2 linked regions of the Sus scrofa genome follow. The protein of the gene in region 1 interacts with the protein of each later gene in a biochemical or structural test. Links are inferred from orthologs where the notes say so. Each region holds a gene or a part of one and is shown on either strand. Other genes may lie near its edges.

The links. The genes of interacting proteins can lie anywhere in the genome.
Region 2: the proteins of UBA6 (region 1) and UBE2T form a complex in vitro, tested with the Homo sapiens proteins (2 studies listed by BioGRID, with this or other methods). The link is inferred for Sus scrofa from reciprocal best matches to the Homo sapiens genes UBA6 and UBE2T.

Annotation. Positions count from the first base shown.
Region 1 is NC_010450.4:65,468,016-65,472,372, reverse strand, and holds the start of UBA6 (ubiquitin-like modifier-activating enzyme 6), read left to right. Parts: upstream 1-1,543; 5' UTR 1,544-2,905; coding exon 2,906-3,336; intron 3,337-4,357. UniProt on the Homo sapiens protein: Activates ubiquitin by first adenylating its C-terminal glycine residue with ATP, and thereafter linking this residue to the side chain of a cysteine residue in E1, yielding a ubiquitin-E1 thioester and free AMP.
Region 2 is NC_010452.4:24,456,249-24,460,584, forward strand, and holds the start of UBE2T (ubiquitin-conjugating enzyme E2 T), read right to left. Parts: upstream 2,838-4,336; 5' UTR 2,759-2,837; intron 1,420-2,758; exon of another isoform or gene 1,395-1,419; 5' UTR 1,298-1,394; coding exon 1,087-1,297; intron 676-1,086; coding exon 606-675; intron 1-605. UniProt on the Homo sapiens protein: Accepts ubiquitin from the E1 complex and catalyzes its covalent attachment to other proteins. Catalyzes monoubiquitination. Involved in mitomycin-C (MMC)-induced DNA repair.

The DNA of each region.
Region 1 (4,357 bases):
ACATCTGGGAACATAAATCAGTGGAAATGAGTTAGACTTTTTTTTTTTAGGGTCTGAAAAGAAATAAAAAATGGTATGTTTATTTTCTCAGACTTTTGTCTGTATATCTGGTTCTTTAAATGCATCATCTAAAACAATGGTTAGTTTAGCCCTTATTGAGTTCTCTGCATATCGAGAACAGAGAACATATCCCAATGTTTTATGGGAACATTGTTCCTATGTTAGAGGGTCTTTCAGTTTAAAGCAAGTGCATTTAAGATTGAGAGATCAGTCACTGTCTTTAAATTGTCAAGAGGTGATGATGGGTTTGAATTTAAATCAAATTTTGAGATTTCCTGTTGTGGCTCAGTGGGTTAAGAACCTGACTGGTATCCTTGAGTATGTAGGTTCCATCCCCGGCCTTGCCACAAGCTACAATGTAGGTTGCAGGTGTGGTTCGGCTCCAGCATTGCTGTGGCTGTGGCGTAGGCTGGCCGCTGCAGCTCCAATTTGACCCCTAACCTAGGAACTTCCATATGTTGCAGGTGCAGCTGTAAGAGTCAGCCATTTTTTTTAAAGTGCCCTGTCTCAGAAATGATTCCGTAGTCACAAAGATAATATTCATGGACAGTTAAAGTATATTTAAAATCTCATCTATCTTACCTTTAGCTTGGTTTCAATCAGTGAACCAATTCCTTGAGCTTATCTAATTACTATAAATTGTGTCCATAGGAAACTAAATAAGATTCAGTTTAATATCTAATAAAGATTGATTTAAATCTTCAATTTAATTCTTACAGTTAAGTTTAAAAATTAGGTGTAAAACAATTAGTCTAATTTTTAAATTATATACTATATAAAGTGCATGCATAGGAACAATAGAATATATGCAAAAAAATGTGCATACTATTATCTCTTGAGTAATTTTAAAAAATTTTTCTTTCTTGTGAATACATGTATTCCAAATTTCTAAGGTGACCCTATATTGCTTTTATAGTGAGAGAAAAGTACAATAAATATACGTGTATCTGTTTGTATGACTTTTATTTTATGCATCACTGCTGCTGTTAGGATGCTTTCTGCTGTAAGTAATAGAAATGTCAGACTAAAAGTGGCATGTTTTCATGTTACAGGGAGGCTGGAAGTAGGCATGCAGAGTTGGTTAAGGCAGAACTTTGAGGCATTTTCTCTGGTTCCACAAGGATTTACCTCAGAGATTAGAGGTTAGTTGTCACCAACCAGAAGTCTCAAAGGCAGAAAGAAAGGGTTGCTTCTAACCCCATGCATCTCTCTCTCCCAGAACCCTCAGCACTTCCTCTTAAATTGGCTAGAATTGGAGCACATGACCACCCTAAGCTAATCACTGGCAAAGGAGAAAGGGATAACCCTAAATATCTTAAGGGTATTTTTATCCTCCTCTAGAGAGCAGTGCTCAATTTCCCTGAACATTTATTTAGCCCTCCGATAACTAAAAAAAAAATTTCTTGTTTTCCTTTTTGTGGCTGCACCCGCAGCATATGAAAGTTCCAAGGCCAGGGATTGAACCCGTGCCACAACAGTGACCTGAGCCACAAGAGAACTCACTTCCTTTTTTCTCTTTTGAGATATCATAAGCGGAATGTTTTGGGGGTCAGAAGCCAGCAATACCTGCCACCATCACCAATTACCTTTTCAAAATAAAACTGAGGCGTTCCCGTCATGGCGCAGTGGTTAACGAACGAATCTGACTAGAAACCATGAGATTGCAGGTTCGATCCCTGGCCTTGCTCAGTGGGTTAAGGATCCAGCATTGCCTTGAGCTGTGGTGTAGGTCACAGACGCAGCTCAGATCCCGTGTTGCTGTGGCTCTGGCGTAGGCCAGGGGCTACAGCTCTGATTAGACCCCTAGCCTGGGAACCTCCATGTCGCAGGAGAGGTCCTACAAAAGGCAAAAAGACCAAAAAAAAAAAAAAAAAAGAATCCGACTGCCATGGCTCGGTCACTTTGGATGTGTGTTCAATCCTGGCCTGGTGCCGTGGGTTAAAGGATCTGACATTGCTACAGCTGTGGCACAGGTTGCAGCTGGGGTTTGGATTCAATGCCTGTCTGGGAAAAGTCTATATGCCACGGATGCAGCCATAAAATTAAAAAAAAAAAAAAAGTTAGACGGAGAGAAATAGAGAAATTGGCATTATTTGTGGGGTGAACCTGTCAAAGATATTTATCTCTATTAATTTTCTTAAAAAGAGAGAGGACCGGGGATAACTTCAGTGCTAGGACAGAACCTTGAAAGAATGAGACATAGACCAAGTTCATTTTCACGATTATGTAGAAAAGGTATACAACTTGACTGAGAAATCTGAATCACGCCATAGGTGAGCAGGATGAAGTTTCCAGGTATTTGGAGATATGCAACTCTGAAAAGAAAATGGAGAGGCTCAAAGTATAATGAATCCACTTTCGCTTGGATCCTCTCTCCACACCAAAATGGGAAAAATTCTAAATAAAAATATCATACATTACAGATGATAAAATGTGGAAAGATTCAATTTTTTGAATCCTACAAACATTTCTCCAAATATACATTTAGAATGAAAGATAAATTCTAACGTTACTGAATTACACTAATTCTTGTTGTTTTCTAAGAAAGGTGAAAGAAGAGTCAAGGGAAAGAGATTCAGAAGTCCTTAGACATTCATTCTGGTATTTAACCTGGCAAGTCACTTACACTGACCATAAATTCCTTTTCCTCACCCATAAAAAACTGGATGACATAATGCATTCATAGCTCTAAAAATCACATGATTCTATCCAATATATGACAGTGCTTGACACGTAGCAGTCGTCCAAAATTATTTCTTAAACGTATAACTTCTTAAAATGGAATCTTAGACTGGAAATCCAAAGCTACTTTTTACTAGCTTTCGGGTTTTTTTTAATTTATAAAATGAAGGATTTTTCTTATTGCTTTAAAACTATTAAGGATTTTGCAATTCCATCATTTTGCCGGCCACTAGAATCTTCTGTGCCTGGCAGGTGCCACGTACCTTCAGCGTTTCGGCTACGTTTATATCCGCCAGACCCCAGTCCTAACAGCGCGGCCACTGCAACCACCTGCAGCAAAGCCCGCCCCTCGACCACACCCAAACCGGAAGCCAGGACGCCCCTGGGCTTGACGGGAAGACGCCGCCAGGCTGATCTCTCCCCGCCCGCCCCCTCCGGTGACGTCACCGCCCGCCCCTTGACCTCGCGGCCCCGCCCCCTTCCCTGCCTACGGTGGTCAGCGGCTGCAGAGTCTCAGGAGACTATGGAGGGGTCTCAGCCGGTGGCCACACATCAGGGAGAAGAGGCATCCTGCTCCTCCTGGGGGCCCGGCAGGTGAGCGGACATTGTGGGCGGGAAGAAGCGAGGCTTGGCGGGCAGGACCCGGGGGCCGGCTTTCTTTTTCTCCCCGGCAGGCGGGCGGGAAGCACGCGAGAGGCCGCGGGGCCGGACTGAGCCGGCCCTGGGAGGCGGAGGGAGCGCACGGGGTGGGTGTGGCGGCGCGGGCTCGGGTCTCGGCGACTCCCGGCTTTTCTGAGGAGAAAGTCCACTTACTGCCCCTTCAGTGCTTTCTCAGTTCCTGTTGGGGTCTGCCATGCTCCTTCCTCTCAGTCCCTGTACATGGGGGGATGGGAGGGGCTCCAGTGGAGAGTTCTGGTCCCGGTCGCTCGGTATGAGCTCCCCAGCCCGGGGGCGCGCAGCTCCTTCCCTCCTCTCCGTGGAGTGAAAGCCAAGAGCGCTTCTGGGGCGATCCTCCGCTGAGACCCTCCTTTGAACTTGGTAATGAATCACTAGTAGTCAGGACACCCAGTGGCTTCTGTTGATTACACCTAAAAAAGAAAGAAAGAAAAGACCAAAAAATCCTGGAAAAAAAACATAGTTACCTATTCTTATTTCCCAGTGGTGTTGAGGTCCACGTTTTTACCGTTCCATCAAAAATAGGGGGGAAATGTCGTGCAGGTCCTCTTTCAGTCATTTCATAATTAATAAAGAGGGCAGTTATATACTGCCCATTACCAGAGTACAATATGCCAGAGATACAAGTGATGCATGTATGATTTTGAGGCTAATGTGAGTGTTCCCAAACCTGTAGCTTTTTGCCAGCTTCAGACTGAAGGGATGCTTTAGGAATCACGGTATTGCCTGGCATTGCCAACACTGCCAGATTTACTTAGGAGATGGAGAAAACAAACAAAACCTCCCCTTATTTAAAGCATTTTTGATAGCCTGATTGACCCTATTTTTAAAATGGTTTTTGAAACAGTACAGCAAAGCAGAATTTTCTGAGAAGTAAGTGCTAGTCTTATCATTAAGTGACAAAACTGGTTAGAATGTAGCTTTTCTCATTTTTACTTTA
Region 2 (4,336 bases), on another chromosome or scaffold:
ACCGCTTCTCGGCACACGACACAGCTGCTGCTGACCAATCAGGACCACAGCCCGTGAGTGGCAGACCTTTTTTCTCTGCCCCAGTTTTTACTGTGGACATTTACAAACAACAGAAAGTTGAAACAGTAGTTCAGAAACCCCTCAGATGCCCACCACCTGGATCAAGCAACTCCCCCTCTAGATCCCTCAGCGCACATCCCCTAAGAATAAGATCACTCTCTCCAGAACTGCAAAGCAGTCAGTACACCAGGTCCTGGAGCTCCCATCATGGCTCAGTGGTAACGAACCTGACTAGTATCCGTGAGGATGCAAGTTCGATCCCTGGCCTCGCTCAGTGGATTAAGGATCTGGCGTTGGCGTGAGCTGTGGTTTAGATCATAGACAGGGCTCAGATCCTGCACTACTGTGGCTGTGGCGTAGGCCAGCAGCTGCAGCTCTGGTTTGCCCCCTAGCCTGCGAACTTTCATATGCCTCAGGAGTGGCCCTAAACAAACAAACAAACAAATCCAGGTCCTTGAACTCCTGCATTTAACACTCTACTACATTGCTCTGGCTTCCAGTAACAGTGCTTTACCCTGGAAATTAAGAATATAATTCACACTGACCTCTCAGGAATGTTAACTTCCAGCTTGAAAACACCTTTTTCATAAGGTGTGTTGGCCCCACCTAGTATTTCTTTTAGGAAAAAAAAAAAAAAAGAGCGAAATTAAGAGGTAGTGGGATGATCTGAGTCAGGGCACCACAGGGACCTAACAAAGCCTGTGGCCCTAACGGAGAAGCCGTGTCTGGGACGCTCGCTCTCTCAGCTTCACAAGTCCTGCGGCGTGCCAGCACCCCACACAGACCACACAGATCAGAACAGAAGGCGCACAATGCTGGCTGCTGAGCGAATACAACCCGCAGACCTGCCGTGTGGACTGCAGCATTCTACCCAAATCCTGGCTGCAAATCAGCAAAAGATGTAATAAAAGGCCAAAGAAGAAATGTCATGAAAACCTCATGCACAAGTGAACAAATTAGGGTGGAAGGTGACCATGCTGTCACACACACATCTCCACCAGGTTTTCCCCAGGGTGTGACACCTACGAGCACGCAGGTCATCCATTCGGTCCCCGTCCTGCCAGCATGTAATGCCTGGGGGCGGCTCTGTGGCCAGCAGGGTTAGCTCTCTCTTCAGACGGGACGCTCTCTGCATGGCAGGCACGAGGGAGGGCTGGCTGTCAGGCTTGCTGGGCAAGATGGCCACACAGATGGCTCCAGGCACCAGGCTCGGGTGACAGGGACTCCGCTTTAGCATAGGACTCTGCTTTCCGTTTAGTGAAGGACAAAGGAAGCCCCCCTGTTAATCTCTGTTCCAAGCAGGGAGTCCACTTTTTCCATTTCCTTGTCGTTACCTATGCAAGCAAACACATTTTTAAACTAAAGTCTGAAATGTGCAACAAGTTCTACAGAGAAAAGTGCTACATGCTTTAAATTAACATCTGTCTCCACGGATGAATGACAATCTCCCCGCCCCCCCCCGGGGGGGGCGGGCCTGGGCCCAGTTTTGCTCACTGCTGGGGCCTCAGTGCACCCAGCACAGAAGTGAACCAACCGTCCGGTACTAATTATAGGTACTAATAAGCAAAGATCACCTGGTGGGTATAGACTGTACTTAGTTGGACAGTGTAATTCATGATAATTATGAACTTAACCTCAGGCAGCTATCCTGAACACAAGGACGTGTATGTGTTGGGTCTTTGTACCCTCCTGAACTGCACTGCAAAGACAAAGTGGTCCTCCGCAATCAACATGCACGCACGCTTGGAAATATTTAAATAGTAGTAATAACACAAGCAAATTAATACGTTAAATAGAATCAATTACACTACAACGGTCTTTCACGCAAATTATTCTTTAAACTACTTCCAAATTTCTTTAGCCACACCTTTAAACCACCTTCTCTTGGATCCAGTTACTTCACTGGGTACTTAAGCATACCTTTCATACAAAAATTCCTTCTTTTCTCAGTAAGCAGATGCTGGGAATCGATGACAGAGACAAATATGCCCAAGTGGTAAAGTCTACCTTCGCATAAAATGTGAACGCAGTGGAAAGGCATAGTAAAGGGACTGTAATAGGGTGAGAACAAATAAGACAATTTCTCTAAAGGAGAACCAGACCCCAGGTTCACCACATTAACACAAATTAGTACGTGGCACTCCTTGGCTCAAAACCATCCATCACTATTTTGTGGGCATTTCAAGTTCCTTACCATCTAGGCCCAACCCACATTTCCAGCCTCATGGCCAGTACTCCTCCCCATAAACGTTTGCTTCTGCCACACCGACTTCTCTCTGAGGCCCACAGTCTGTAGACGTATACACACGTCACCCCTCCTCTAGGAATGCAGCCTAGCCCCTCACTCCTACCGCAAGGCCCAGCTCTCTGTTTCCACAAACTTGCTGTGAGTTGTAATCTACCCCGGCAGCTGCTCTGCACCGGGAGCGGGACGCGGCGGGGAGAGCAGGGGAATGTCGGGGACGGGGGGTGGGGGGACGCCCGGGTGGGAGGAAGGGGAATGTCTGGGAAGGGGGACACTCAGGTAGGGGGCTGCCGGAGGCGTGTGCCAACGGGGCTGTCAAGACAACCACATGCTCCGCCACACAGCCGCTCGCGGGAGATGATACTTCCTCGCTGGGCAGAAAGACCCTGCCGCCGCCGCCGCCCCCGCCAGCCAGTAACCTCTAAGCCGAGAAGCCCACCGACCCGCTCTTACCTGCGCGGATCTCCCTCGCAGCGCAGCGGCGCCAACCAGCCTGCACAGCGCCTGCGCGAGCCCGAGGGTTGCGTCTCCCCTCCTCCGGCCGGCGAGGGTTGTGATTGGTCCGGAGCGCCGCCCGGGGAGGAGTGCGGCCTCCGATTGGCCGGCCTCCGAGCGGCGTCCGCCCACCCGTTTTGAACCAGAGCGCGGGGCGGTGGCTGCGGTTTCCAGTCGGGTTCAGTGGGTCGCAGGGGTAAGGATTGCACATCGCTTCCAGAAGCTCCGTGGGAGTAACTGGTCAGGAGAAGGAACTGCAAGCGAGGTTCCTCGCCGTAGGGTCAGACCCGCGGACGGCGCTCTGGGGATTCCCCGGAGCCCGAGAAGCGCGGGGATTCCGGGCCGGGTTCCGACTCTGGGCGCGGGGACCTTGCGCGGTGCTCGGACGCCACGGCGGGCTGGAGACCACACCCGCCTTCGCTTCCTGCTCCGGCTGCGGGAGAGCTGCCAGTCTTCCTAAACGTGCGAGCCAGTGCAGTTTGACCGCTGCTCTGACAGCTGCCGAAATTTCTGCGTTCCGCCCAAATCGGTGTTAAGTAGCCCCCTGGTTCCTTGCGGCCGCCCTCTCTCCGCCGGAGACCCACGGCCCCCCACCCCCGAGACCGTCCACGGTACTACCCGGTGCTGTCCAATCTAGTCTCCCGTTAGCTGTTGGGGTTTTCCCTTTACTGTTAGCGTTGCCTCATTGTAGGGAGGTGTTTTCTGTCGTAATCCCTTCACTGTTTCCACCCCGATTGTAACTGTGGTTGTATTATAATTTTATTACAGTTACAGTTCTGTCCTCCGAGCTGAAATTGATTGTTTTCTTGGGTGGTTTTCTGAAAATCGAGTCTTTTATTCTTTTTCGTCCTCACCAGCGGCATTTGGAATTCTCAGGCCAGGGATCAAATGTGAGCTGGAGCTTGTGACCCACACCACGGCCGCAGCAACTCGGGATCCTCAACGCACTGCGCTGGGCCAGGAATCAAACCTGAGCCTCCACAGAGACAACCCGGGTCATTAAGCCAACTGTGCCACAGTGGGAACTCCCTGAAAATCAAGTCTCTAAAATATCTTTTAGAAAAACCAGGAGCTATGTTGAGTCTGGTGGAAAGGAGAGATGATATGATAAAACAAGTCAATACCTGTAGTTTTGGCAACAGAAAGAATTGGATAAAAGGAAGGAAGGAGGGAGGGAGGGAGAAGGAAGGAAGGAAAGAAGGAAGGAAGAAAAGTAAAAGAAAAAGAATTCTAGGGGGTAAATGTACAGCTTCCATGTGTCCACCAGAGGGAGGTATGTTAACTGGTGAGAACAGAGGCCACGCTGATTTTCATAACCTGTGTGTACCAGTGTCATTGCTTTAAAAACCAGAGTATTCTGATTTGTAGTTTATTTTTGAAGTGTACGGGAAAGTATTATTTAATAAAAGTTTCCTCACTTTATGCAAGAATGTATGTGCATTCTAGCTGGGTCACTTAGCACATTTCAAAGTACAAAAATTACAGCAATCGTTTTGTAATGTATAAAAACACCAAATCACTATGTTGGGCAGCGGG